Linked DNA regions of Tamandua tetradactyla. The protein of the gene in region 3 interacts with the protein of the main gene of each other region in a pairwise test. Links are inferred from orthologs where the notes say so. Each region holds a gene or a part of one and is shown on either strand. Other genes may lie near its edges. The genes, in order: KRTAP26-1, DMRT3, MGAT5B and HOXA1.

Region 1 (5,919 bases), on a different chromosome or scaffold from region 3:
ATCATTCCTAATTTTGCCCTTTCATAATAACTTCCAACAGCAGGTATGTACATTTCTTAAGAATATCTAGGATCACAGGTCTAGAGAGCAGCTTGTGGAATAAGCCACCAAGCTATACCCCTTCTTCCAAGTATGAACATATGGTTTGAATATCATCTCTCCTATGCATTCAGATTGCAAGCAGGTGAGATTGGTAATTTCTTTGTCAGATAAAGCAACAAAGACACATTGATGAACCAGATTCTTAATTCTGACTGAATCTACTTTATTACAATATAAGGCAAATAAACTCTTCTCACACATGAGTGGCAATGAAGAGCTTGTAAACCAATTATTTGAGGTCATGAAGAAATGAAAACAATTAAAAATCTGAAAGAAGCAACTGGTATTATATAGGACACAGTAAAACCAAGAAAAAGCAGTTTCTACTAGGAAAGAAGCAAAAAGTCCATGAAGTATGAATGTTTGTTCTGGTTCCTCAGCAGGATTATTGTCTGGAACAAGGAAGTTACCGTTCCAGCGCTCAGTAGGATGGACAACAAGTGCTGACCACATGAGTCAAAGGTTGACAACCATGGGAGAGAAGATGCAGAGGTCTGAGGCTGCTGGACACAACACTAAGTGGTGGAGGACCACTGGTCAAACAACCTAAGGGTCGGCATCCATAGGTGAGGAGGCTCAGGGGACGGCAGCTGCTAGATAAACAATTTAAAGGTCTATAGCCACTGGGAGCACAGCTTACGGGCTGGAAGCTGTAGAGAAGAGGTTTGAGTGGATGACAGCTGCTGGGTACGTAGTTCAGAGGTCTAAAGGTTACCGGAAGGCAGGAACTGGGGTTGTGGGAAGATGTAGGAAGAAAGCTGGTTCGTTGGCAGGATCTGGGCACATGGTATGCAGTGGAAGAGCAGCAAGAAGTTCCACGGTTATTGGTAACACAGATGCCTGGCTGGCAACTGGTTGGTTCTCCGTAGGTTTCTTTGGTTGGTTCACTACATGTCTCTTGGAAGTTGTCCAGGAGCCAGATACTGCCTTGACAGCTACTGGGTAAGCAGAGGACATCTCCAGATCTCACATTAGTAGAACAGTGGGCAGTGGAGGAGGTAATAGGAATGTGGCAAGAATTTCTGAATGATCCCATGTTGTAGTTTCTAGAGCAGTAGTTGTGGCAAGCCATCGTGAGGTATGAAGAGCAGGCTGTGGTTCAATGGAAAGAAGTGCCTGAGTTTGATTATACCTCTCTTAGGCTTGATCCTTTATATATAGCTAGAAGGTGGTGGTTCTGTATACAGACTCCCTTCTTCCTTGTTGTATGAGGCTGCATCAGAACTCTTTATTATAGCACAGGAAGTAGAGACCACATAAAACTAGATGTCCTTTTTAATGCCTTCTGTCAATGAAATGTGGATATAAACCCATGTGGCTGGATATTAATAGAATGTCTCCTTAAATTATCCAAACAAAACAGACACTTTAGAAGCCCATGCATTTTTTTCCAGTTATAACCACCATTGCACAAACATTCTTAAATTCCTCTCTTGGAATTGTCTTTAACTCTTGTAGCAAACTTCTCTGAATCTGTGGCAAATTGTTCACTCTTAGGAGAAATTTTATACTTTTCTGAAATTGTCCAAAGTAAGGAGCATGGAAGCAAGTAAGTTGAAAAAGAAAGTGGTTAATTCTATAACCCATATGGCTTGGGGTAGAAAGAGTATAAAACTTGTATAATATGGAAAAACTCTATGTGCCAAATTTGTGCTTTGTTTTATTTGAGAACACTAGTAGAAGGTGGCTTCCCACACACATTTTTATCACAAAATGTTCTCATTTATTCACTTCAATAAATAAATTGAGTTAAGATGGAAGCTTGGTTTTTGTTTGAGATATTCTTTAATATAGATGATAGTAGTTGGGCTTAGTTAAAATTATGGATTCTACTATGAACAAAAGCAAATAAACAGACTGCTTAAAGAAAATTGGATGACATGCCATTTTTCATGACTATGAAAGGCCTTATTTATTTCATGGTATACTCATATTCTAACTGGAAATTATCGTTCTTGGTCAAAATAAGATATAATGGCGGGCCGCGGTGGCTCAGCGGGCAAAGTGCTTGCCTGCTATGCCGGAGGACCTCGGTTCGATTCCCGGCCCCAGCCCATGTAACAAAAACGGAGAAACAGAATACAATAAAACAAGAAAATGTTTAAAAGATGTTTCCCTTTCTTCCTTCCTTCCTTCCTTCTATCCTTCCTTCCTTCTCTCTGTCTTTCCTTTAAAAAAAAAAAAAAAAATAAGATATAATGATTAAGACATAGATTCTGTTTTATTCCTTACATTAGTTGTGAAATTCATTTCAAAAGAGGTGCTCACGGCTGGCTGAGTCTTGTGAAATCCTGAATGCATCAACTGAATGGCATTGGTAGTGGGTAAAGCCATCTTAACTGAATGTTTATGAAAACTGTGTGTTGATGCTTTATGTCTGCTATTCTATATTATAAGTAAGTACCTAGCATCTGTATCATTAGTCCACCCACATATGGGGATCTGTATGCATATGCAGTGTATATGTAGTATATATGTTAATGTTTCTCCATCCAATAAATGGGTGTCGAAAAAGAGGCAAGGTAACTAGCATTTGCTGAGTCCTACTATGTGATAGACCATTGTGGTGTAATGTCACTTTATCCTCATAATTCTGAACAGTATTTTTACTATTCCAAGTGTTTATATGAGAAAACGTGAATTTAGAAAGTATGGCAATTGATATTAAGAAAAATATCTGAAAATAATGCTCCTTGAGCCCCCAAACAATTTTCCTCCCTCTTTCCAAAATAGTATTATGCAAAGTGCACTAATATGATCATCTACTATCTGTGAGGTCCTGGACAATTTTCATAATTCTTCTGAACCCTAGTCACTACCAATATCATTTGTATGGAAATGAATATATTAACATCAATTTTCAAATTACATTTAGAGGATTAGATATAATGAAATAGTTAAAAAGTTAATGTGACCATCAGACACTACAAAAGAATATTTTGTTTGTTATTGCTATCTTGCTTTGACATCCGTCTGCCATTCTGAAGACAACTGCCCTTGGGTTCAATTGCTTTAGAGTACTACCATGAGGCTATTTAATTTTTTTCTGGTATTGAGAGGTAATCCTATAAAAATATCTATAGATTTTTAGAAAATATGGTGTCCCAAAAGTAAACTACACCTTAAGGTAACATATATTGAACTGGTGTTATTTAAGAGTAGCTGTGCCACTAAAATGAAAGGGCTTATTTGGGCATCACATTAGAAGCCTTATCAGGAGAAGCCTTAAAAGGCTTCTATAAACTACAGTTTGGGGGCTCTTTTTCTGATGCAAGGACCCAGGTATACTATGAGGAATTGGGTATCCTGTGTTGCTCCCCCATTTATACCTACACTGTTAGTTTTTCTTCAAGGAGCCAAGGATTTTTACTTCTCTTACTCTAGAGGTAGAATTTCAAATTTTTCTCTCTTATAGGTAAAGAAGACTCAGAGAATTGCAACAATAAGGATATGATAATAAATGACAGGCATCTCATACATTCATTCACCAAATGTTTATTGAGTATCAAATATGTGCAAAACATTATGATAGATTCTGAGATGATAACAGGATACAATTGGCTTCTGCTCTTGAGACACACCTAATCCTGTAGGTGTGGTAAAACAAATACACAATGCATGACTGTATACCACTTTCTATTAGTGAGATTCAGAGAAGAGCAGACATAATAAACTGGCTTTATCTAAAATTCAGCATTTGAAATTAATTTTGAAAAATGGGAAGAAATGACCAGTGGTTTGGGGAAGGGAAGGACACATCAGGCTATGGTCAAGTTTTAAAGACAGAAAAAATGAAAGCCCAGTGATTTCAATTGAGGGTTATTGGGCAGGAGTTGTAGTAACTAAATTTGTATTCATATGCTGAAAGATTTAATCATCTGAAAAGTTATTGACATTTTGTTCTGCAGGCATGTTTATTCTAAAATGGATTTTAAGAAGAGAATGCTGAGATTAAGCAATATTTTGTGACATTCAGCCTTACTCCAAAATACAGCACAGATCGAAATGAGGAAGTACCTATTTTAATGTTTCTTTCCCTCAATGCTACATAAAATTAATTTTGTTTTTTCATCCATTTTCCTCCCTTTCACTGCCATCACTCAAGTTCAGAGATTTGCATCTTTGTTAAATACATAGATTTCTTGTTGGCATCATTGGCTCCTATACCTATTGCCTTATATTTATCCTGAACATTGGATTTAGATTATTACCCCCTCAAATAAATTTCATCAGATGACTCTTATACAGAAAAATGTTGTTGACTTTCATTTAGCCAAAGAGAATTTGCCCAAACACTTGGTGGTCCTTCCTTTGCTTCCCAGTAGAGACCCTTTTCTGCCTTTTGACTTGTTGGCCCATGCGATTAATTACTCCACATTACCCTTGTTTCACATTATCTGTTCACTTGTCATTGGCTTCTCACTTGGAAAAATCATTCTTTAGTATTTTCCATTATTCAACCCCAGTTAAATTGCCCTATTCTTTACAAATTCCTTCCAGACCATTCCTACCAATTTTTCTCCAGCCTTTAAATATTTATAGTTAGATTTGCCTAATACGCATACACACACACACACACACACACACACACACACACACACACACCCCTTGGCTTGCAAGGAAAACCTTTTGTTTTCTATATATGTCTTATTTTTCCCAACTATATTATGGGCTCTTATTAGCCACTATTTACTGCATCCTTATTATACCCTAGACACTATTCTAAATGTTTTAGATATTGCTTTAGTTATCTAAGCTAGTGAAAGCAGATGTCATAAAATGGATTGACTTTTAACAATGGAAATTAGCTTGTGGTTTTGAGGCTGATAAAAATGTCCAAATCAAAGCATTATCAAGGTGATGCTCTCTTCCCAAAGATCAGCTGCCTTTGATCCTTTGGTCCAGTGTCACATGTCAAGGCACATGGCAGCATCTACTAGTCTCTCCCTTCTCTTATAGGTTTCATTGTCTTCACCTTCTTGCTTCTGTGGCTTTCTTCTTTCTTTCTGTATTCATTCTGTTTATATAAAGGACCCCAGCAATAGGATTAAGACCCATCCTGAATGAGGTAGGACACATCTTAACTGAAGCAGCCTCATCAAGAGATCCTACTTACAATGGGTACATAACCACAGGAATGGATTAACTTTAAAAACATGTTGTCCTGTGGTACGTACAGTTTCAAACCACCACGAATGTATTAACTTACGTCTCCTTATTACATTTCTAAACAAAGTAAGTATTATCATTGTTCCCAGCATATATTGGGAAATCTGGCAAATACTTAATTATTTGTTGACAAATGCAACATTCACAAATAGAACTTGGCTTTTCCTTAACAAATGAAAATTGACCTGTACTTAATCAAGCCATTAATCTTCTTTATAAACCTTTCTTTCCTTCTGTGAGGAAAGTCAACTTGCAGGGAATGTAAAAGAACATAAGTATAGAATGAAGTTCAGGAGAACTTCATATAGTTAATCAATTTTCCTGCTGTGCAAATCAATATCTCTGATTAATGTTCTTTTTAGCTTGGCCTAGAGGAAACAACCAATTTTTCGAAATCAGACCATTGCAGGCTAAGGCACAATAAAGAGGAACCAAGTGACCTAATAATAGCACCTTCATTTGGTGCTATTGTGAAATCATTGAATTTGTGCAAAATAATTGAATTATTATCAGTTGGGAAGATTGTATAATTATCTGGCCAGAGATGTAAGTTCTAGGTGAATGATCAGAGTATAGTCTAATTCAACTGATATTTTTTATATTATAATCTTCTTGAGGGTGGAAGCTATGATTCCTACATGATTTGAA
Region 2 (7,253 bases), on a different chromosome or scaffold from region 3:
ATGATATGTTACATACAAGATATGTTACATACAAGTATATAATAAGAAATGCAGAAATACATAATGCATATTATATCTTTAGCAACAGGCCCTCTCAATCAAGTAGTTTTCTCTAAATTTAAATGTCAAATGGACTTTCTCCTTACAAAGCCTTGCTAAGGAAAAGAATGAGCTGTTATTTTCCTGCTCTCCCCTCTACCACTGGATTGGTGGTTCAGCTTTAAAAAAATAATAAAGTAGAATTATGGAGTGGAGCCAATAGAAAGAAGAAAGCAAAAGTTGTTTAAATGGATGTACAAGGTATGCAGCGTGACCACCTGGAAACTGAGCTGTAGGTTCCTGAAGGTTCACTTCCCCCACAAAAGACGTCACTCTGGTCTCTCCTTATGGTAAGCCCTATCCTCCCTTGCAATTACTTGCTTTCAATTTGAAGAGCTCAGGCCTGAATACTTGGCAGAAGGAGAGACCCGGGTCTGGTTTGTCCAGCTGAAATTAGTCCCCCTGTTTTATTCCCCAAAGCTATATATCCTTCTGCCAGAGTTGCTACTCCACTCTCCTTTCTGCACTCACTGCCCCCATCTGGGAGTTGTTCTTGGTTTTGTGACTCTAGACATCATGACCTTTGGCTATCCCAAAGGATGGTATGAACAGCATAGGATATGAAAGGAATCCCCCCTTGGGCAAGGACCCCCAAGACCCAATGACTAGTTTCAGGCACATAGCAGCAGCCACTGCAAATGCTACCTCTGCCATTAACTGGGTCTCAGGCTCTGATCCTGGGGGAAATGCAGCCAGGGAAACTGGAAATAAAAAAGTTACTGGCACAGATCAACTTCTAGAGGAGAGACTAAACTCTCTAAGTTAGTTGTTCTAATCTAACCTAAGAGAGAAAAAAACAAACCAAAAAAAAAAAATCTCTTTCTCCCCCCTCCCATTCCTCTGAGGCAACTCCATAAATATGAAGAGCTGAGACAGGCAAAAGAGAGATAAGTGGGGGATATTACTCATATCTTGGATTAAATACTTACAAAATCTCTATTCAGCAAACTCCCTTCTGTCCTAAAAATACTGAGTTCTACTCCTCACACAAGCTGTCCTCAGAGCTTCAGGACTGCACAGCATAACTGTACCTGCCAGACCACCTATCAACACACTTTCATTTCCCCAGCTCCACCCAGGAATCGGTGCCCCTGAGAGTCTTCCTCCAGTAAGCCAAGGGGACTGGTCTTCAGCAGAGGGTTGGGGTGGGGAAATGTGGGCAAGCAGCAGCCTCTACCTCACTTCTACCGATAGGAAGGTTATGGACCTTCCCTTTCCTAATTCATCCGTGATGCCCCCAATCCCCTCTCTGAGACTATGGGCTTTTTTCCTTCCTATATTTTGTTCCAGTGAAAGGGAAACACAAGCCCACTGATTTCCAGGAGTCAAAAAAATCAAACGGTTGAGCTAGGCAGCAAAGTAAGCTAGAAATTCCCAGGGAGGAAAGGGGCTCAACTGGTGCCTGCCAGGTCAGGAGGCCATTAGGAGAGAAACAGAAGGAAGTGGGGGGGGGGGGGGCATGAATCTGTACACCACTAGGGAAGAACAACCCTCTCTAAGACACTGGAGAGAAGAAGGGAAAGGGGGAGTAGATGGAAGAAGAGGTGACACAGTCTTTGCTCTAAACCTTCAGCTTAGCAGCCTGATGACCAGGCCCTCCTAGAACTGGGGAAAGAGCTTTCCCAAGGGGGCCGTCCTCATTTGTAGGTAGTTTTTTGGTTTTCCTCTGAACTGCAAGGACAGCTGAGGATGGCCTACGGAAGAGTATTAAAGACTCTGTCTGAGTGGTTCTGCAAAGGGAGTTGACCCTGGGTGCACTAGATTCTGTCTCCCCTATCAGCTTAGAAGACTTTTGGAATCTTGTTATCAATCCTGAGAGGCTTCTTTCACCAAATCTTTCAAGAGGTTGGAGGCTATAGTGTGCCCCCAGAAAGGCTCCGATTTCCCCCAAATTGGAGATTTGTGTCCTTGTTCCAATTCCCCTGGGCCGACAAGCACCGGGCTCGTCTCAGCCCAGCTCGGATTCAGACAAACGTTGAGCCTCCGCTCCTTCCTTACACCAACCTGTCCTAAGTTCCAAATGCGAGACCCTCTAAAACACCCGCCGCTGGGGAAACCCGCACGCACAGTGCCGTTTGCGCGGGATGGGGTGGGGGTGGGGTAATACAGTCGTTCGTGGCCTCTTCATTCACTCGCCTAAATTTACATACATTTTCCCCTTTAACCTAGGGCAGGCATGTTGCTATCCGGACGCACAGTGGCACAGTCTCGTCGTGTAGCTGGCGGAAGGCGCTCTTCCCGCGGGTGCCTCTGTTCCACCCGCGCGGGGTCCAGACTCAAGGCCGCTTCTGCCCGTTGAGTAAGAACCCGCCTGGCATGGGTTGCGGGGAAAGACCCAATCAGGCCAACCCCCCCCCCCCCCCCCCGCAAACTTTGCCTCCGGGGTTCCCTGGCAGAGCCACAGGAGGCGCTCTGAAGATGCCCACGTGCCCCATTCGGTGTCCCGCACCGCGGATGCTCTTACCTGGCTTGACGAGCTGTGCCTGCAGCACCCCGGGCTGGGGGTCGGTGGCCCAGCGCAGCGCGGCTGCCGCGGCCAGCTCAGCAGCGGGGCGCGGCGGCGGCGGCTGCGAAGACTGCGAGGTCGGTGGTGGCGGCGGGGCGGCGGCGGCGTCCCCGGGTGGCGGGGGCCCCGGCAGGGCCCGCAGCGAATCCGGGATGAGGCTCTCCAGGCTCTCGTTGGCCTGCTGCCGACGCAGCGCTACTTGAGCCGCCATAACTCGCTGCCGCTCGATGATGAGGATGCACTTCTCACAGGTGCAGTCCTTGAAGCGGCAGTAGCGCTTGTGGCCCTTGAGCCAGGACAGTACTCCGTGGTTACGGCAGCGCGCGCACTTAGGCGTGCGCTGCAGGGGCGCCCGCGGCGGCTGCGACACCGGGCCGCCCATGTACAGGTAGGGGGAGCCGTAGCCGTTCATGCCCCGGGCTCCTAAACGGCCGGGTTAGTGGTTCCGCTCCGGGCCGCCCTTCCGTGCGGTCCTTGGTCCCGCAGATCCCCGCGGCCACGGGCCCTCGGGGCGGCCAGAGGTGCGGCAGCAGTCTCTCCCGCGGTTTTCGCGGCTGCGGCCTACCGGCTCGTGCCCCGCCACAATCCCCACGCCAGCCTCGTCTCCGCCGGCAGCTGCTTTGGGCGCGCAGCCCGGCCAGCGCGTCCTCCCTTGCCGAGGCGCTGCGGCGGCTGCAAGGGGCCGGCAAGAGCTCTGGTTAAGGTCTGAGCCAGCACGTCTGCAGAGCCCTTGTGCGCTTCCCCAGCCCAGCACCTCCTCCGTCGCCTTCCCTCCACCCCTCCTCCCTCCCACCGCCACCCCCACCCCCGGGGTCGCTGTCTCCTGCACTCCCCACTCCACCCCACCCCACGCCTTCCTTCTTCCTTCCCGCTCTCGCCCCTCGGGTCCCCGCACTTCACCTTCCTTGCCACCTGCTGCCTGGCCACTGTCGCGGGGGTGCTCCCAGCCCCCTCCTCCAAGCCCTCTGCTTCCCCAGCCCGCGGCAGGGAGGGACTGCAGCGCTCCGAGTCGCGGCAGTGCACGTGGGGCGGGGAAGGGGAGGACCGGCGAGGGTGGGGGTGCGTGTAGGCTAGTGAGGTGGCCGCTCCCCCTCGCTCCCCCCTCCCCTCCTCTCTAGGCCGGATTTGGCGGCATACAGCCCGAGGCCGCTTTTTATCCAGACGCTTGGCCACGGAAACCAGGCTCGTCTAGGACTGAGGGACGGAGTCTACCGGAACATTTGCGGGTGTCTCGGGGATCCGGCGCGGGTCGATGGGGTTATAAATTGGGGAGAGCCAGGTCCAGCAAGTCGGGGTGGAGGGGGGGGTGGTTTTGGTCCGGGGAAGTTTGTTTTTTTCTTGATTTCCTTTTGCAACAGAATTTTGTCTTTTGTTGCAGAAAAAAATGAATGCATTAGAAAGCTTTCAGCCCAAGGATGACAACTCGTTTTGCTGACTGTTTCAAAGGGGGAAAACACACACACCCTACCTGGCACTGGTTTTATTTCTCTACTGCTTCCCCACCGCCATGTTTTAGTAGAAAAACCTCGTGTGTCCGCAAAGGCCGGAGAGGTGCTTGCGGGGTGGGGGTGGGGGTGGGGGTGGGGGGATTTGCTAAGTGCCGGGTCTAAAACTTTCAGAGAAAGGACAGAGGCGCCACTTTAGCGCCGGTAAAGTTCCCGGGTATGATCTCCTCTGTCCCCACCTGCCAGTGAACCTTCAACCGAGAGCTAGCTTCACTCAATCCAAATCCCACAGATTGTGATTTAATTATAGATAAGGGATTGAGCCACCTCTCCCTGCTCCCCATAATGTCTCTAGGTGTGGGCAGGAGGCGGCCTTTGCATCTGATGACCGCATACAACTTTTCTTAGACTTCATTTTCGTGTTTCTAATCTGCAAGTATCCGGTTTGACCCAAGGCCGACTACCGCGACAAAGGCACTGGGACAGCTATCGCCAACCCACCCCCAAAACAAAACAATGCAAAATAAGCGGATACAGTCGGAGCCGAGCAGCAAAAACGGTTCTGTGCGAAGGGGGATGTTGGAAGACCCCGAGCCCTGGGTCCGCAAGGCCTTGGAGCAGAACCTGAGCTCACCTCCAGCTTGGAAGAATCGAATGCCAGACGGGAGCTTACAGAACTTCACTGCAATGCTTGGCCCTTCCTGTGCACCACGGCCCTTGTCCCCTCGGGGAAGCCGCTTTTCTCTGCACTACCCTGGAAGCAAGCAGCAAATACGAAAGCTTTCCTCCGCATTTGCTGTGAATTCAAGTAAAGCACCGCCAGGCGCTCTAGCAGCCTGGTAGGGAGATTCAAGGAAGGGAGTGTACAAGGGAACCCGGTTGTGAGCGTTTCCTTTGAAGCCCTTCGCAGTCTCATACGTCCCGTTTCCGAGGTGTCCCGGAGTCATCCGGGACTGTCCCAGTGGGCCATGAGCAGGAAGACCTTGCCTTGGAGTCCCAGCCCCGGGAGCCCTCCCCCCCAAAGCCAAGCCGATGGCCTGGCGGGCAGGAGGCGGCGTGGCGCCCGCGCTCTTGGGTCTCGGGAGACTCCTGGCACCTCCGGCGCGGATCACGCCGGCGCCTTGCGCACCAACTCCTCCGCCTTGCGTCTCCTCGCTTTCTCGCGCCACCCTCCACTCCTTCCAACCTTCGCTAGAAAAACATCCAGCCCTGAAACACTACTGCTGGAAGGAACCTCTCAAACTCTCGGAGCGCGAGGCATATGTCACCCCACAGCACCGCAGGCTTAGGGCGGGAAACCAGGTGCTGGCAGCCAGACGCTTCACGTGATGGGAGATTTAGAGGGCCGCGAATGACACCGAATCTGGAAACTTTCGCGCTGAAATCTCAGGGGCTCTGGGACTCCGGGGTTCAAGGGCAGTTTTTCAAAGCCAAATTTCTCCCGACTTCCTCCAAGTGGTCAGCAAAAACGAGGGAATGTAATGAACTTGGGAATAAAGAATTTTTTTTAAAAAAAGAAAGCAGCAGAGAGCTCTGCAACAGGTTTGGGGGCTATTCCCACTACCAAGGCGACCCCCTTTCCTCCCTCGGTCACCTATCCACCCTGTCCCTTTGCCATTCAAACAGTTGGGCATTATTTGGTCCTGGGCCCCCGTTTCACTCCAGTGCACATCGGAGGCTGAGTTCTAAATACTCATTTGATATAGCGCAGTAATCCTTTTCTCATATTTGATGGGAATGTTTTCCATATCCCAGTATTTGACAACATCTCCCTATAGGGACAGGTTTGTATTTATGTTGGTAAAACGTCCCCTGCCTCAAAGTCTATTGTAACCCAACACCTGACAACCCCGAGTCCCATTTCTGTTTGCAGAAAGGGTTTATTCAAGCACATAATGGGATCCCAGCAGAAAGCCTTTCAGAACAAGGGGCTATGGTAAACTTCACCACATGAACTCCGTTTCCAGGGCTATTAAGCTTTTAATTGGAAAATAGCAGAGGAAATTTCAAGGTGACTATAACGTGTTAGCAGTTAGCAGGAGAAGAAAAGCAGGAGCGGGAATGAATGTAGAAAGCATATGGTCCGAATAACATTTAGGAGGAGCGGCTTGCTTCTTACTAAGTCCGGGCAGCTTATACGCTTATGGGAAAAATCATCAAAGAAATTGGAAAGGGAGGGAGGAAGGATTACAAGCAAATGTAACCTCTAAAGTGGATCTACTTGCACACTCTCTTCTGGTGTGTGTGTGTGTATGTATGTGTTCAAACCACAATTAACCGGACAGAATTGTGACAGGTATTAATAGCGAAATGGGGAAAGATAATGTATGTATATAATTCTTTCTCTTAACACACAGAGTGTACTTCTAAAAGCTCAGGATGCATGTGCCCTTGAGGAAATGAGGATGTTCTGAGTCGAAATCTAGAGTCCTGGTAGCTGCTTTCCACCCCCCAGTCCAAGTAACAATCAAAAGGACATATTATCCCGGATGTATGATACACTGGGAAATTTTCTGTTTGCTGGATTCTCATGGAGGGGGAGGTCACCGTTACTATTTTGCCGTTTTAAGCGCAACCACGATGACGCTGGTGCAGGCAGACGCTGGGGCCTGGGTGTGCAGAAAGACTCCGTAAAGGCAGAAAAACGTGCCCCCTTTTCTCTGCGTGGGAATTCGGTTCTCACCGTGACTGTGCCTTTCCGCATCGCTCTTTGGCCAGCTTCAAATTAAAAAAAGGGGGGGGGGATGTCTAAGCAGCGGAGCGACTAGCAATCGGTTTCTTGGGGTGACAATAATGTCCTTGTTCTCCCTCGGTTGACTGGGGAGAAGACTCGTGCGCATCCGCATGCAATCCCCGAAGCCACAATCCCGGGCGCGGGATGGAGAGCACGAGGCCGAGAGAAGCTGCACCTGGCGGGGCCGGGAGCGCCGCTGAGTAAAAGGAAGGTCCTAGGCAGCCCGTGACTCACATAATTTTGGAAGTCAGGGAGATGGATCGCAGTCGACGACGACTGCTCTTGGATCTCTAGCGGCCGAGACCTTGGGGAGCAAACGTTGTTGGCACCGAACCGCGTGCGACGCGGCGGGCCTCGTGCAGAGCCGGCAGGCTCCGCTGCATCCTTTACGTTCTCACACTGTCCAAGCTCTAGTTTGCTGTGGCTCCCGCCTGTGCAGACTTCTCAGACCCATTCCGGACCCAAGACC
Region 3 (7,763 bases):
CAGAGTGTGAAGAAGCCAATGCCCAGGACAAAAAGCCTGTGGAGAGGAACAAGGAGGGTGAGACGGGCAGATGAGCTGTACAACGCTTACAGCACTCCTGCGTGGGAGGGGCTCTGTACATGCGGAAGGATGGAAGGGTGGATGGAAGGATGGACCAATGGATCAAGGGATGAAAGAATAGGGAGCTGAGCTACTGGGACCTCATCACCCTAAGATCAAGAAAGCTCAACTCCAAGGAACTGAGCAAAAACCACATGCAAAACCACAAGGAGCAAATGAGGCACGCTTAGGTATAGGTGGGGAAAGTTCTTGCCTTAAGTGAGAGGCTATCAAAGGCAGCAGTTCTCCAAGTGTGGTTCCTAGACCAGCATTGCCAGCTTCACCTGGGAACTTGTTAGAAATGCATTCTTGCCCCACCCCACCCACCAGACTCACATCAGATACTCTTGGGATTAGGGCAAGCAGTCTTTAACAAGCACTCTAGGTGAGTTTGTTACATGCTGAAGTTTGAGATCCTCTGGAATAGATGGAAACAGTGGAGTCTGATGCCAGCAGAGGACAAGTAACTGGCCCAGACGAGACCTACCTGGAGGCCATCAGTTGCCTGGGCCACCCCCAGCACTTGTATACACAGGGGCTTTCATCAGTCATGAGCTGGCCTGAACACCTCCCTAAGCTTATTCTGAGCAGTTCTCGAAGGGGGCTCCAAGAACAGAGACGTCTGGCCCCCTACTGCACCTAGCCTCTACCATACACACATCTTTGGCCAGGAAAGCACACAGGAGCTTGTCCATCTGCACCACTGATTGACCAAGGCAGGCTCAATACCACCTGTGCACAGGGTGTCATGCAGGTGTGTGCGCTGTCACCTGGGCAAAAGAGCTGGCCAAAAAGTGAACTCTGGTTCATTCTTTCCACACACAGTGGTGTCTCTACCAGGTGCCAGGAAGAGAGCAGGAAATGAGACCCAGAACCCTCCACAAGCTTCCCACTGCTTCACTGTGAGGTCCCAGGTTCACCCCAGGTCCCACGGCTGGATATGAAATCCTAGGTCCTAAAACACGAGGAATGAGCTCCCCAGCATGGCCTGGGGTGGCAGCAGTTCTGGGACCCTGAATCTATCAGAGGACTCGATGAGCTTGTAGAACCCCCCCAACCCAGGTGAGAAAAAGGAACCCCATCTCATGGGGAGCCAGGCTCACCAGGGGGAGACCCCAAGTTGGGCCAGAGCCCTCCAGCCCTCCCACCTCCTCTCCCCACCCTAGGCCCCACACTTCACACTGTTACGCAACACTTGCTTTATGCATTTTAATCTTCATTATTTGAAACTGGCACAGCAGTATTTAATTAAAATTTGTCCATTAAAGAGAGCACATAATTGAAGAAAATAAAAGCACAACAAAATCCCTAACCATATTTAAAGGAAGATGCTGGAGGTTAAATCAAAGAGGGGCCAGAACCCCAAAGGAGAGATGGCACTGAGGGCTTCCTCTGGGAGACGGCCCCTGGCAGGGGGGCAGAGGAGACATAATTCAGTAGAGGGGCGGGCACCCTCAAAGGGACCACCACATCGAGCCCCACTGAGGCTGGGGACTGAGGTTCAGGGCCTGCAGTCCCCAAAATAAAGTCAAGCAGGTCTCGGGACAACAGCCAAGGGGGACAGCATAGGGGGAGGGTCACACACCCAGGAGATCCCAGGGAAACCGGCTATTTGGCCCCTCAGCCTGGGGACGCGAACAGATGCCTCCCAGTTCGAGCTCCCTATTCTGCATCCCCCTGCATCCCCAGCTGAAGGGCTGCTGGGTCCAAAGCCCTGCTGTGACACCTTGGCCTCCAGGCCAGGTTGTGCCCTTAACCCAGCCAGGTGGTGCCCTGTCTTAACAGGGGCCCGAAAACTGCCCCAAACACATCTCATCTGCATTTCTCTCTGCAAGACCCCAATCATGGGATAAAGTGACCCCCCACCTCTAGAAAAAAACAACCACGGGATCATTTACTGTAGACTCAAGTTAAAATGTTCTCATCCACCCATGTCTCCTTTCCAGAAGCAAGAAGCCTCCGCCAGAGGCTCCGAGGAAACTAGGGAAGCAGGACCCCCAGCCTGTCCTTGAGGATTAACAAGTGAGGGTGATGGGACTGGAGGCCCAGCCCCCATGGGAAGACCCGACTGAAGGCTGGAAGTCTCCAAACAGCCTGGGGAGACTCTGAGGTGAAGTAACACAACGGCACAACTCGGGAGGTGGGGCGTGGGAGGACCTATGCAACCCCACCTCTCAATTCAGCCTTCAAGTAACAGCCAGAAAGAACCAACTTTGGGGGGCAGGACCCACAGGGGAGCCAGGAGGCCCCGCCGGGTAGTGGATGCTGTCCATGGTGCTGGACCTGAGCCGGGACACATCCGGGCACCACTCTGGCCAGAGGCTGGGCTGGACTGGGCTTTCCGCGGCCAGAAGGACACTGGGGTGGGGGCAGGCGGGGCGAGGGCTCCTCTTCTGGCCTGGCCAGGTCAGGGACTTGAGGATTTCCCTGGAGGAGCAAGGCCCTGTGCAGAAAGAGGCTGGGTTCCCACCCTGCATCCCCTGGGAAACTTAGCTGGGGGCTCCTGACACCCCCCCTCATTCACCCACCGTGGTCTGCCCTCAGAGACCCCCAACTCTACGGTTCTCCCCCATGCTCCAGGCAGTGGGCCTGGCCTGACCCCTGCTGACCCCCGGAGCCCGTTTCCCCGGCCCCACAGAACAGGCACAGCCCATCGAGGCTGTTCTGGGGGGGGGGGTGTGAGCTGGGGGAGCCACAGTGTCTCCCAGCCTAGTGCAGGGGAGGGACCAGTAACCGCCTAGGGGCTGGGGGGTCTCGGGTCAGAGGGACGGAGAGAGGGTCTCAAGCCCGGCCTTTCCCTCAGACCAAGCCTTGGGCACTTCCCCTGAACTCGCAGCTCTTCCCCACACCGGGTCCCACCTGTGGCCTTGTCCAGAGTCTGGTGTGGCCTGGCCGGGTGCCTATCCCAGCCCCGGACACCCATGGCACCATGCCCCCTCCTCGGCGACACCCCCACCCCCACCGCGGGCGGGTTCCTGGACGCCTGGGAGGGGAGGAAGCGGTTCCTGCCCAGCCAAGCCCAGGGGAACCCAGGGGGTCGGACCAGCAGAGTCCCAGCGAGTCCTGTGCGGCCCCGACCCTGCCAGGCCTGAAATCCCGGAGGTGGCGGGTGAGAGGAGAGGTGTTGCCTCAGTGCGACCTCCACGCCCCGCCGCGGTCCGGCTCCAGCCGTCCCTCTGCCTCTCCACTGTCCAAGGGCGGGACGAATCCTCCCCCCTCCCCCCAGTTTCCTCACCCTAATCTCGGGGACCCTCCCGTCTTGGGCAGGCCCGCATCCCGCTGTGAGGAGTACGCGGAGGGGTGGGGGATCTAGGGGCGGCCGGCGGGATGCGCCCCCCGGCGCCGCCCGAGCACTGCCGCGCTAACTTTGCGCTGAGCCGTCGGGGTGGGGCGGGCTGGGAGGTGGGGCGGCGCCCCGAGGGGCAGGGAAGGGCGCGCTGGCTGGAATTCTGCCCGGGCCCTGGTCATCGGCCGGGTGCCTTGCGCCCCGGCTCCCACCAGCATACCAGAGTCCTCTGCCCCCTCTACCAACTCGGGACCGGTACCCCGCCCCACGCGCACCCCACCTCCACCCGTAGCCCCAGCCCCGCCGGCGGCATCTCCACCGCCACCTTCCTCCTGCCCCAAGGCGGGGCGCGGCGGCCCCCTCTGCCGCCCGGACGTGCACCCTCGCGGGGAGCGACCTCGCCCACCCTTAGCCCGCGACCCCTGCGGGGAAAACGACCTCCCCGCGCCCACCCGGAGAGAACTTTACCGAAAGGGTCTCAGAGTGACCAGGCATCTTCTGACCATTATCTTCCCCTCGGGGTTGACCGTGATCATTGTTCAAACTCGTCTGGGCGAGGACGCGCCGTCCGGGTCCCAGCTCCCGCCGCGTCTGGGCCGCGAACCCGCGCCCGGCCTGAGGCCGGCTCGCAGCGGGGCTGGGGGCGCGGGGGCTCGGCGGCCGCGGCTCGCGGGGTCGGCGCGGCCTGGGCAGGAAGGAGCAGGGGCAGGCGGCGGCTGCCGGAGGGCGGCGAGGGCATCCGACCGGGCCGTCTCCGCGTCGCTCTGCCCTGCCCGCCTCACATTTCGGGGGCCGGGAGGCGGCGCGCCCCCACCCCGCCGGCCGTGCGTCTGCCTGCTCCGGCTCGCTCGCTGGGCGGGACGGCGCCGCGGCGCGCAGACGGGCTCCCCGCCGCGAGCTCTCGCATCCCCGGCCGCCGCGCCCTCGGTGCCGGCTAGGAGCGGCCCCCTGCCCGAGCCCCGGGTCTCCGCGCCTCCGGGCCGCACCGCGCCCCGGCCCCGCGCCGCGCCGCGCCCATGCTGCTCGCCGAGGGCGCCCCGCGTCCGCCCGGCCCCGCCGCCGCCGCCCGCTCGGCTGCCCGCGGTCGCTGTCCGGCGTCCGGCCCCGCGCGGCGCTACGCCCGGAGGCGCCGCATTGTTTCCCCGGAGGAGGCAGCCGAGCCGCGGCTGGGGCGGCCCGGGAGTGGCCGCCGCGTTCCTCGGCGCGCCCGCGCCCCCTCGTGGCCATCGCGCGGCCGTGCGTCCACCTGCCGGGGGGCGGGAGCCCGGGGCCCCGGGAGGCGGGCGGGCGGGCAGGCGGGGCTCGCCGTGCAAGGGTCTCTGTCTCCCCCGGCCGTGCGACCTCCCCGGAGCCCGCCTTCGGAAGCATCCCGGGCGCCACTAGCTCCGAGGGCCGAGCGCTGCTTCGGCTCCTGCCCGGCCAGGATGAGGTCGGCCCTGGCCGGGACCCTCCTTTCCTCCCGGGGCTACGGCGCGCCCTCCCTCCCTGCCGCTGCGCCCACGGGAATCGCCGCTGCACACCGAGTCGGATTTCGCTTGGTAGCGCTGATCCATCCTCTGTCCCTCCCTGGGCAGGAACTCCGCGGCTCCCCTTTCTTCCGGGTCTGAGTACACACTCGGCCCTGTGGCGCTGGGGCCCTTCCGCAGAGCCCAGAGAGGGGACTTGGGTTCCGGTCTCAGATCCCCCACTGAAGAGCGCGGCCTGCTCCACTCACACAAGTCTCCCGGCCAGATGCCTCCGTTACAAACTGAAAATGACCAGAAATTCGCTAAGTTGCCACCGACTCTAAAATCTGCAGAACTTAGGTTTTCAGCATCCATTTCTCGACTTTGGAGATGCTTTCTCAGTTGCAGAGATATGCAGGGAGCAGCTCGCAGGCCCTAGCAGCCTTCCGGAGGCCTTCCCTAGCCAGGAGCACACCGTGCCCCACGCTGGGCAGCCACACCTCTGGCCAAGGGTAAAACGGTGCATTGAGACAGTGATGCTGCTGATGGCCAAGGAGAGGAGAACCGCACACCCCCCTCCTACTCAGGTCTCACCCCCAGGCAAAGCCCCTTTGCTGTCTGTCCTGCCACCTGCCAGCCCTGCTCCCAAGCCATTTCTTACTCCCGGGGATGTGCTCCCTGCTTTCCCTGCTCCTTCTTCATCAAAATTCACCTGTTTTGTGTTCCATTATCTCATCGCCTTGCTGTCTGCTAATGTGAGAAGGAAAGGTAAATTGATGTTGGCAGATTATTGCGCTGCTCCAGCTGGGTAACAGATTTGCATGTAACAAGGACACAGTGACGGCAACTTCATGCAGAAGAGTGAGAAATGGTGGTGGGAAATTCACACGTGGTGGCAGGCTGGAGAAGGGGATATTTGAGGCCAGGTTCTTCTCTGTGCCTCTAAATCACACCAGTGGTGGGGCACCGACTTCTGCCAACACTTAGGCAATGATTCAAACTCTGGATGTCAAGGCCAAAGCCACGTCCATGAGAACTAGATAAATAATGAAATGAAACTTGCAGTTGCTTGTCTCTCTCCCATAAGCTTGGGGGTTGCATTTAAACCTAGCATTGGAGGCCAAAGAAGAAGCCTCCCCTGAAGGTGGAAGATGGGGGTCTCCCTACAAGGCCATGGGGAGGGTACTCCCTACACCTCTGGGCTCTGAAGGGGGGACGGGGAAGGTCGCCTCTGCCTTTTGACTTGGGGCCAAGCAGTGAGGTTAAAACGAGGACAAATGGATGGTGTTTTGTGAGCCAAGTTGTCCAGCTGCCTGTCCCACTCAGTCTGCTTCCCTTTTCTCAGCCCCGTCTGCAGTGAAGTTCAGCATCAGTGGTCCTGCTTGCTCTCCACTGTGCTGCAGACGTTAGAGAAAAATTGAGTCCCTACATTATGCCACCTTGAGTACAACCTCTGTGTCTCGGCTCCCTCAATTGTACGTTGAAGCTATTTATTGTAGCTGCCTGGTAGGGTTGTTACGAGAACTGAGAATGGTGAATGCATATAAATAGCCCGTTATCTGGCACCTAAGAGGCCTCCATCCCAGGTGGTTATGATTATTGATTATTGTTATTGTCTGCCTGTAGCAGCTGCCGCTGGGACCTCCTCATAGTCCGTCTACGTTCAGCTCTGCATGCTAAAGGCAGATGACGGAGACCTTCGACTCTCTGTCTGAGGTGTTTTCCTGGCCAAGGGAAGATGCTAGAAAATGCCCCGGCCAAGACCGAAGTGCCAGGAGGTAAGCGATGGATCAGCAGCTCCACCCCCGGAGTTTCCTCTAGTGGGAAACTCTGAAGCTTGTTCCCCACTGGCCCCCAGGGCTCCTTGGCGGGTCGGAGCTCCAGTAGCTGTTGGTCCTGACGGGCCTTGTAACACCCCCCACTGGCTTCCTTCCCTTGCATGTCTCCTCCCCTGTCGATGTTCCTGGGAACATGTCCCAAGTAAACTATTTGCTGTTGAATCCTTGCTCAGAATCTAATTCTAGGGAATCCAAACCACGACCTGCTCTAGAGACCTGTGCTCCTCAACCCTGCCCACTCAGCAGACCCGCCTGCAGGACCGAAAAACGAGTCCTTATTTTGATTCAGAATCTGAGGTGGGGTTAGGGTACTTTTTTTTTAAGTGCCACATGTTCTCCCAACGTAACTGGCTAGGGTGGAGAACCACAGTTCTAGACAAATCTCCCATTACCTCCGATGGGGGAGGAACAGGGCAGTTGGAATTGGGGTGCTCTCCTGCTGGAGGGCTCATCCAAGCATTGAAGTCAAGGGCGGATCAGATGCTGAGCCCCGAGCCCCTTGCTCTTTGGAGCTATAAAGGGAACCACGAGCTTGGCAGGGGGGTGGGGGGGCAGCCCCCACCCCCACCCTCTCCCTTCTCCCCTCCCACCCTCTGCCTTCTCCCCCACCACATCTGCACAGCACCTCTCTGTCCCTGGGTGGAAGTCTCCACTCTAGGGTGCATGCTGGGGGCGGGAAGGGGGGGTTGTTTCCTGGGGCCTTTGTCACCCCCTCATTGGCTCCAAGGGGCCCCCTGGGCATTGGAGCCTTGACACCCACCCACCCCCACTCCCAGCCTTTCACTATTGTTTGTGGAGCTCACAGACTGGTCCTGGGGGCGTGGGGGGGGCGGGGCAAGAGGAAAGATAGAAACAAGCAGTTTACCATGTTTGAAATCCCCATTTAATGTGCTCCGACTGCAGCAGCAGACAGCACATTAAGAGGCAATAGGCCACTGTCCTTGCTGGTGCGCAGGGCATAAATAATGGCATAACAACATTTACCGTCATCGTGCACAAATCATCAACAGCCACGCGGTGCGGGGAACAAGCAGCCCCACACAGACGCCAGCACCCCGAGCCACGTGGAGGCCGTTTAGTGGGGAGAGCTATCTC
Region 4 (7,453 bases), on a different chromosome or scaffold from region 3:
CACTTGACCCAGGAAGTATCCATGATTGTTTCAGCAATAGCTCTTCTTCATAAATTTCCTCACCGTTCATTTTTTCCATTATAAATGTCAATTATTATAAAGAAGCTGTTGTTATTTTAAAGAAAATCAAGCTATTAAATAACATTGGTAAGGTGTCATACCAGAATCTGGTGAAATTAAAGTCGTGAAGAAGTTTCAGCTACATGAAAATGGAGGGTATTCACTTTTATGCAAGAAAAGGCCCACTTGGAAAATTCATATCATTCTTTCTCCCCATCCCCAAATGAAATAGACAACTTCGTAGGAATCAACAAATTGTATCCCAGTCAAATACACTGACATTTAAGCATACCTGAAATTGAATATATTTATTACAGACATCTTAAGACCCGTAAACTCTGCTCCGGATCACATCACTCCAGGATCTCAGAGCTAGTCATGATTGTACAGAAAATGGGAAATCAAAGGCTCACCAAGGATAACTGATAGAACTCAGTGTGGTACTTCAGAGACATCAAAACATTGTGCGACATGCAAAAGACTATTCACCAATCACACAAAATATACATTCATTGTGCCATCCATCACATTAACAATTGAGCTGAAAATACATCATATCCAGCTACAGTAACTGTGGAAGGAAGAAGCTGGTTTGAATAATGCCTTTAGGTTCAGAATAATCCAGCACAAATTTTTAATGGAAAGTAACCAGAGAAGCAAGAAAAAAGGGGATGGGGAAAAATTTAATACAGGAAGCCAGGTTTGTGAACCTTGTGCTCTACAGGCCTTCTTAGCTCACTGAAAGAACAAATCAAGGCTATCCTCTGAGGCATCCGATTGGGTTTCAATAAGGAAATTTATTCTTTCACCTATAATCACATATAAAATTGTAGGAGCCATGAGAGTTTGCCCACCCTGTTTGAGTCAATTAAACTAAACTTTCCTAGAAAATCTGTATAAAGATAAATCTCTCAGTCAAAGTATTTACAAAGCCAACTTATACATGAAACTGAATTAAATTAAGGAATGAATGAATTGTGTAAACACACTCATAGTGCATCTATTCTTCATGAGCTCCTGAACTCTTTCCTGTCTTTCTATTCTACTTTTAAGATCAGAGTAGGGGACAACTGTAAAGATACAGATTGATAAAAGATGAGAAGCCTCTCCCTGATATGTTTCTGCTGGCAAAGGGGTCTATTCTCCAAAGGACATCTGGAAAGGAATAGTAGGTTCCTGGAAATACCCTTAAAAGGCAGGAAGGGGTTGTAGGGACCATCAGAAAATTGATGCTGGCACCCAATCTGGATTAAGGAGTAAATCTCCCACCAGGTCTGGTCCAGAACTCTCTGGAAACACATTAACTCGGCCAGGAGTTCCCAGATAGGATCAGAAAGGAAGAGAGAGACTGTCAATGGAAAGGAAGATAAGCTAAGAATGTGCTTTGGGTAAGAAGTCCCAGCCTGAGAAGCCTGGACTGTGGAGCCTTGGGCTGGGGTGGCCTCCTCAGTGAGAGGTGGTCAGGGTGTCTGAGGTAGAAGATCCTGGGGAGGGAACGCAGGGAGAGGAGCTGGACTTCTCTGAGGATTCCTCGGCCTTTTCATCGCTTACGGGCGGAGTAGCCGGAGAGATGGGCAGAAGCCCTTCCTTCTCTCGCTTCTTCTGCTTCATTCGGCGGTTCTGGAACCAGATCTTCACCTGGGTCTCGTTGAGCTGCAGGGACGCAGCGATCTCCACCCTGCGGGCACGCGTCAGATACTTGTTGAAGTGGAACTCCTTCTCCAGCTCCGTCAGTTGCTTGGTGGTGAAGTTGGTGCGCACCGCATTGGGTTGACCCACATAGCCATATTCTCCAACTTTTCCTGGAGACAGAGTAGGAATTGGTGAGGGAAAAAGGTAAAAATTTAAAAATTGATATGAGGGACATTTATCCCCTACAGGCTTTAGAGCAAAGGGAGATCAAGAACTTCTCAGCACAAATCAGGCTACGAAGGGTGAGTGATGAAGTGTAAAGACGTGGTCAGACGAGTGATTAATGAAGCCTAGAGATATTAGCAAAATACATCCCCTCCCCTTCCTACTTACAAAACCTCTAAAACTCAGCCCACTTGGAAACACGTGTCTCAGAGCCTTCTTTGCCCCAAAACATCTGGGCAATCTCCCCATACCCTACAACATCTGTCGGAAGCAAGAACTTAAAAAAAAAAATCATTAGGAATTTTCCTTGCAAACTAAGCATACCAGCTTCTTCCAGTATCATCAAAGAGCATCCACCGGCCAGCAGTAGACGGGGACTGACCTGTTTTGGGAGGGTTTCTTTTGACTTTCATCCAGTCAAAGGTCTGCGCTGGAGAAGATGTCTCCGACGCAGGAGAGCGACAGGCTTCTTGGCTGGCGTGGAGAGGGGACAAGGAGTTATTATACGTGGCCAGGGCCAGGTTCTGATGCTCTTGTCCATATGAGTGATGGATGTACTGAGGCGAGCCCACCGTGCCCCCGGCATAACCCTGGTGGTGGTGGTGATGCTGGACCATGGGAGATGAGAGATTTCCAGAGTAAACAGCGGGAGCGCACGGGGGGTACCCACCACTTACTTCTGCTTCCTGATTTAACGCGTAGGGACTGTAAGGCGCGCCGAAGTTCTGAGCGCCGTAGCCTGGGCCACAACTCGAGTGGGAGTAGGACACCCCCAGATTCCCAGGAGTCTGGTATGTGGCTGGCTGGGAGTGGTGATGGTGGAGGTGATGGTGGGGGGGAGGGCTGATCTGCACACCCCTCCCCACTAGGAAGCGGTCGTCGCCGCCGCAGCTGTTGGCACTGACTGCGCACGACTGGAAAGTTGTAATCCCATGGTCGGAAGGGTAGGCTAGCGCTGAGCAGGTCCCGGAGTCGCCTCCGCTGAGAATGGGGTATTCCAGGAAGGAGCTCATTCTTGCATTGTCCATCTGTCACTGAGTGACCAGGTCCTGCGAAGCCCTGGGTGACCGTGCCAACTTTCTCACTTCCTCCATGGGGTCGAAGAAGAAAAATGATATGAATGTACAGTGCGCAAGACAGGGGGCGGAGGGCGGAGGGCTCTAGGGAGGGGCACGTGACTGTGCCAGCCAATCGCTGAGCCCCCTGCGAAAGTTTGCCGACTCCCGCGGTGATGGATCACTGTTTCAGTGGCATTTAAATCCCCGGCGCTCCTCCGTCTAGGTGACGCGCAGTCGCCCCCCTAGGCAGCCCAGGCCGTGGCAGTAGCTGCGGCGGCTGCTACGACTGATTCCGAGCACTGGGGCGAAGGGGAGGAGAGGCTGCTTTCCACGCGCGCTCAACTCCGCTCGGCCCCCGCCCCTGCGGGAAGTAGGGGCTGAGGGCATCCCCCACCAGCGTTCCCCTCTCAGCTGTGTACAGAAAGATGAACTGGCGAAAGGTGAGAAGGGAAGAGGGCTCTCGGCTCTCTCGGGTGAGGGATAAAGCGGCCGGAACTGTCTGGGCGGAACAGAAAGGGTAGGAAACAAGACCTGCGTAAGCCCCAGTTTCCCGGATCGCTTTTACTGCACTGTCCGTGCTCCGGGACCCTGGGGCGGTAAGGAATGCAGAAAATGGTGGTGGAGAGCGAGGCTGGGCCACCAGCTCTCCGAGCCGAGAAGGAAGTGCGCGGAGGACTGACTGAGAGGAATCCCGGATGGGTGTGGAGCGGCGAGCTCAAGAAAAGAAAATTCCCTTTTCCTAGGAGGGTCTCTGATGCTCCTTTTCCGCCCTACACCGTTGCCATTAGCATGGCAATGAGGAGCTTATGTAATTCGACGCCCCGGGGCGGGTGAGCCCTTGCAGCAGAGCTTGTCAGCAAAGGCCTGGGATGGCCGGACTCTTCTCCACCCTCTCTCTCTCTCTCTCCTCGTTCCCGCCCCTTTCTCCTTCCCACTCAGCTTTGCTCCGGGAGCCCTTCGGGATCCCGAGCAACTCGGCCGCTGGATTTTGAGGGGTAGGAGGCGGGGGAGAGAGATGACGCTAGCGGACGTGGCCTGCGTAGGGGCCGAACCGCGCGCTGCAGACCATCTGCCGGCTCCCCAGGACCCAGGAGCCTGCGCGCTCCGGGTGGGGCCTCGAAGGGCCAGACCACAGCTCCAACAAAGTGTGCTCAGCTCTCCTCTCTCCTTCGTTTCTCTCTTTCTGGAGAGGGGATTTACGAGTAGGAGATCCTCCTCCAACACCCCCCCCCATACACACACACACACACACACACACACACACACACACACTAGATTCGGTTGCATTGCATGTCTGGAGTGGGGGTGGGGGCTAGCAGGTGGGAGGGGTGGTGGACAGATGGCTGATGGTGGACACTAGACACTTTCCTCTTCCCCAACGATACCTCCTCCCCTTTCCAACTTACTGTGTAGCTGCCTATGTGAGTCAAGTGTTTCCCCAGAGAGGCACGTGCAAATCTGAGCATCATCCCAAGCCAGAGGTCCTGGTCTTCATCACACTTATCCTACCCTGATACTGATGGTGTCGTTAATTGCTATTTACTATTAGGTTTCGAGTCAACCACGGGCTTGTAGAGAGAAAAGTCCAGAGGCAGAGAATTGATGCATGCTTAGGTAGCAGAAATCAGCCAAGAAGCTTTGCAGCCACTGTTCTATAGATTTTACTCTGATGGTGTTTACAACATTGAATCTGACAGATGAAAATTATTATGAGGACTGTATGTGGGTTTGGGATTCCTACTTCTTGCCTACCTCCCCTCCCCCAGTTAGAACAACAATGTTTTGCTTGAGGCAGGCATATTTCAAATGTGTTAGGCACCCTTTCAGGCCCCTGTGTTCTGTTCTCCAAATATAAAGTCTCCCCCCAAATCTGTCATCTCAGAAGGGAAAACCCTTGCAGACCTTTAACGCTGGACTCCCTCAGCAGCAGCAAAAAAAAAAAAAAAATGGGTTCCCCAAACACTTCCTTTGGAATGGTATTTTTCTGTGAACTTTGACCCATCCTCAAACTTGGTTTAAGTGGGAGCACGTACAGAAAAGGTCACTACTGCCTCAGTTCCAGCTTCTGGAGAAGGGAAAAGGCAAGACGACTCGCCTGGAAGCGGCTTCCTTGGGAGCGCCAGGCCTGCAGCGGAATAGGAGGAGAAGGGATCCTGTGGGGGTGGGGCTGAGGTGGAGAGTATGAGCTGGCAGTGTGGGTGATCTACTCTCGGAGCCAAAGCTCATCCGTACGTTCTCCCCCCTTGCCTTATTCCTATACCTTTGTTGGCCTCCTCCGCCGGGGTTTGCGCGACCCCCCTGGGCCGCAGGGCGTCCTCCACAAAGCCGCCACCGGCCTCAGCCTTGTCGCCTCCTCTGCTAGCTCCCGGCCTCCGCACTCCTCTCCCTCCACCTCCCTTCTCTCCTGGGTTCCTTACTAAGACAGCCTGGGTGGGGAGGTTTTCTTGGTGTCAAAAGCATGCACTCGCACAACACACAGGTCCGCAGGCACTCGGGCCGGCTCCCGTCTGTCTCCGCGCACAGCTAGCGGCAGGCCCGGCTCTCGCAACCTTGCGGGCTCCGCCTGAGAGCGTCCGGGACCGCAGCTCTCCCGCGCTGCTCACAAAGGCAGCCTCCTCTGACTCGAGCCGGTAGGCTTCCGTAGTTCGATTCCTTCCCAATCCCACCCCCACCCCACCCCACCCCCCACTAAGAAATTCTGGGGCCGATTAGTCGGTGAAGGAGATGCTTGGCGGTCTGGGCACACAGGCCCGCGCCCCACCACACAAGCTAAAGTGTCTAAACGCCCAGAGCAAAAGGATGAAAAGTCTAGCTTGGTCACGATTAAAATAATCGCCTGCAAGCGGCTCGCTGGGCTCAAAGCGCCTCTTTCAAAGCTTTTCTACTAGAAAGGGAAGGAGCCAGGAGGAGACAAAACGCCGCCGAGTCCCGGAGCTGTTCATGGCATCTGCGGCTCAGCCAAGCTGTTGTTTTAAAAGAGCAATAAAAATGAATTATGACTAAACGCCTTCTAACTTAATGCGTTCGGACGGGAATCCCCGGCAACTACGTAAGAGGATTTTTATTTGTGCATGTGTTCCTGCAATTGATCTCTTTGATGACATTCTCATTCATAGAAAGCGTTTGATTTATGAGTGCAGGACAAATCGCACCCAGCAGCCCCGCAACCCTGGCCTGGTCCGGGCTGCCCTGCTTCGCTCCGCGCCAGGGGCCGGAAATCGGCCGCGGTCCCACGAACCCCCCGCCTCCCCACACACACACACAAATGCCTATGCCGCTGTTGGGACTTAGAGGGTTGAAGAAGAAGGGGAAGGTGGGGAGCAAACCCATGGAGAAAGATCGGTATTTCATTATAACTTCCAAGCCGCTACAGTTAAGAGCCGGCTTCGTAAATCAACCCGCCCCGCACACATGTTGCTTACACACTGCATTTTCTCACGCTAAGTAAGTTGCCATCAGAACATTTCTCAGAAAGAGAAAAATAAACATGGGAGACATAAGGAGGGGGGGGACAGAACAACCCAATAACATACCCTAGATCACGTTTTATTGATATTTCATTTTAAAGTGCTTTTTTTTCTCTTTCTAAAAACGGGGTTAATTTATAACCTAGGATGACAAACACACTCCTTTTTAAATCTCAACTTCCTAACCTGACTTCAAAGCTTTGATGATCCATTATTTGCAATGTAAACTGATTTAAGAATGAAATATTGATTTTTCTGACCCTGATAAAAAAGACCCCACGAGTGACTGGACCAGAAGATTGGAAAAAAATGAAGTGCATTTTCCAGCTAGCAACAACTGTTTTATTTTTGTTTTTCTCTATTTTTTAGGTCTGTTTGCTGGACTCATCCACATCTGGAAGACTAATCAACCACACTGAAAATATGCGGGAACTTGTGGGGGTAGGGGAGAACATAGATGTTTGAAACAAACGTGTATAAATAAATGAAATGTTGATAACTTGCTTAATGACCTAGAGACTAGTAGCTTGTTCAAGAAACTCCACATTCCTGAGTGGGAGGTTTCTGTAGGCACTTTATTTCTTCAGTTTCAAAAGCTTCGACTTGGCCCAACTCATCGCGGCCCAATTCTGCTTCTATTACCAATTCAAATCTATGGCTTGAACCTCAAATCTGAAAACCAAATCTATTCCCTTAAAAAGAAAAAAAGAAAAGAAAAGAAAGAAAAAACACTTCTTAGAAGCCCTAGCCATTTTCTGGCTTTTGTTGTTGTTTTTGCTATCTAATGAAAATTTTGACTATACCCCCTTTATAAATATATTAAAATTGAAAAAGAAGATAAATTGTGACCAGAATTTTATTTACTGAGTTAGACTAAAAGAAGAAAAAGAAAGGGATTGGGGGGGGATATGAAAGCTATTTGTAGCAAAGGAGAATTTATCCTACCAAAAAATATGCATGACAATGCATACTAATGTAACACAAAAATAAAAAGAAAGTGAAGATACAATT

The links.
Region 1: the proteins of MGAT5B (region 3) and KRTAP26-1 interact in a two-hybrid assay, tested with the Homo sapiens proteins (3 studies listed by BioGRID and IntAct). The two-hybrid records come from large-scale screens. The link is inferred for Tamandua tetradactyla from reciprocal best matches to the Homo sapiens genes MGAT5B and KRTAP26-1.
Region 2: the proteins of MGAT5B (region 3) and DMRT3 interact in a two-hybrid assay, tested with the Homo sapiens proteins (2 studies listed by BioGRID). The two-hybrid records come from large-scale screens. The link is inferred for Tamandua tetradactyla from reciprocal best matches to the Homo sapiens genes MGAT5B and DMRT3.
Region 4: the proteins of MGAT5B (region 3) and HOXA1 interact in a two-hybrid assay, tested with the Homo sapiens proteins (2 studies listed by BioGRID). The two-hybrid records come from large-scale screens. The link is inferred for Tamandua tetradactyla from reciprocal best matches to the Homo sapiens genes MGAT5B and HOXA1.

Annotation. Positions count from the first base shown.
Region 1 is NC_135336.1:89,679,484-89,685,402, forward strand, and holds KRTAP26-1 (keratin-associated protein 26-1), read right to left. Parts: upstream 1,175-5,919; coding exon 524-1,174; downstream 1-523. UniProt on the Homo sapiens protein: In the hair cortex, hair keratin intermediate filaments are embedded in an interfilamentous matrix, consisting of hair keratin-associated proteins (KRTAP), which are essential for the formation of a rigid and resistant hair shaft through their extensive disulfide bond cross-linking with abundant cysteine residues of hair keratins.
Region 2 is NC_135328.1:97,227,336-97,234,588, forward strand, and holds the start of DMRT3 (doublesex- and mab-3-related transcription factor 3), read right to left. Parts: upstream 3,018-7,253; coding exon 2,564-3,017; intron 1-2,563. UniProt on the Homo sapiens protein: Probable transcription factor that plays a role in configuring the spinal circuits controlling stride in vertebrates.
Region 3 is NC_135332.1:17,795,711-17,803,473, reverse strand, and holds the start of MGAT5B (alpha-1,6-mannosylglycoprotein 6-beta-N-acetylglucosaminyltransferase B), read right to left. Parts: upstream 3,023-7,763; coding exon 2,930-3,022; intron 2,764-2,929; coding exon 2,660-2,763; intron 37-2,659; coding exon 1-36. UniProt on the Homo sapiens protein: Glycosyltransferase that acts on alpha-linked mannose of N-glycans and O-mannosyl glycans.
Region 4 is NC_135327.1:96,059,769-96,067,221, reverse strand, and holds HOXA1 (homeobox protein Hox-A1), read right to left. Parts: upstream 3,004-7,453; 5' UTR 2,946-3,003; coding exon 2,300-2,945; intron 1,863-2,299; coding exon 1,507-1,862; 3' UTR 331-1,506; downstream 1-330. UniProt on the Homo sapiens protein: Sequence-specific transcription factor. Regulates multiple developmental processes including brainstem, inner and outer ear, abducens nerve and cardiovascular development and morphogenesis as well as cognition and behavior.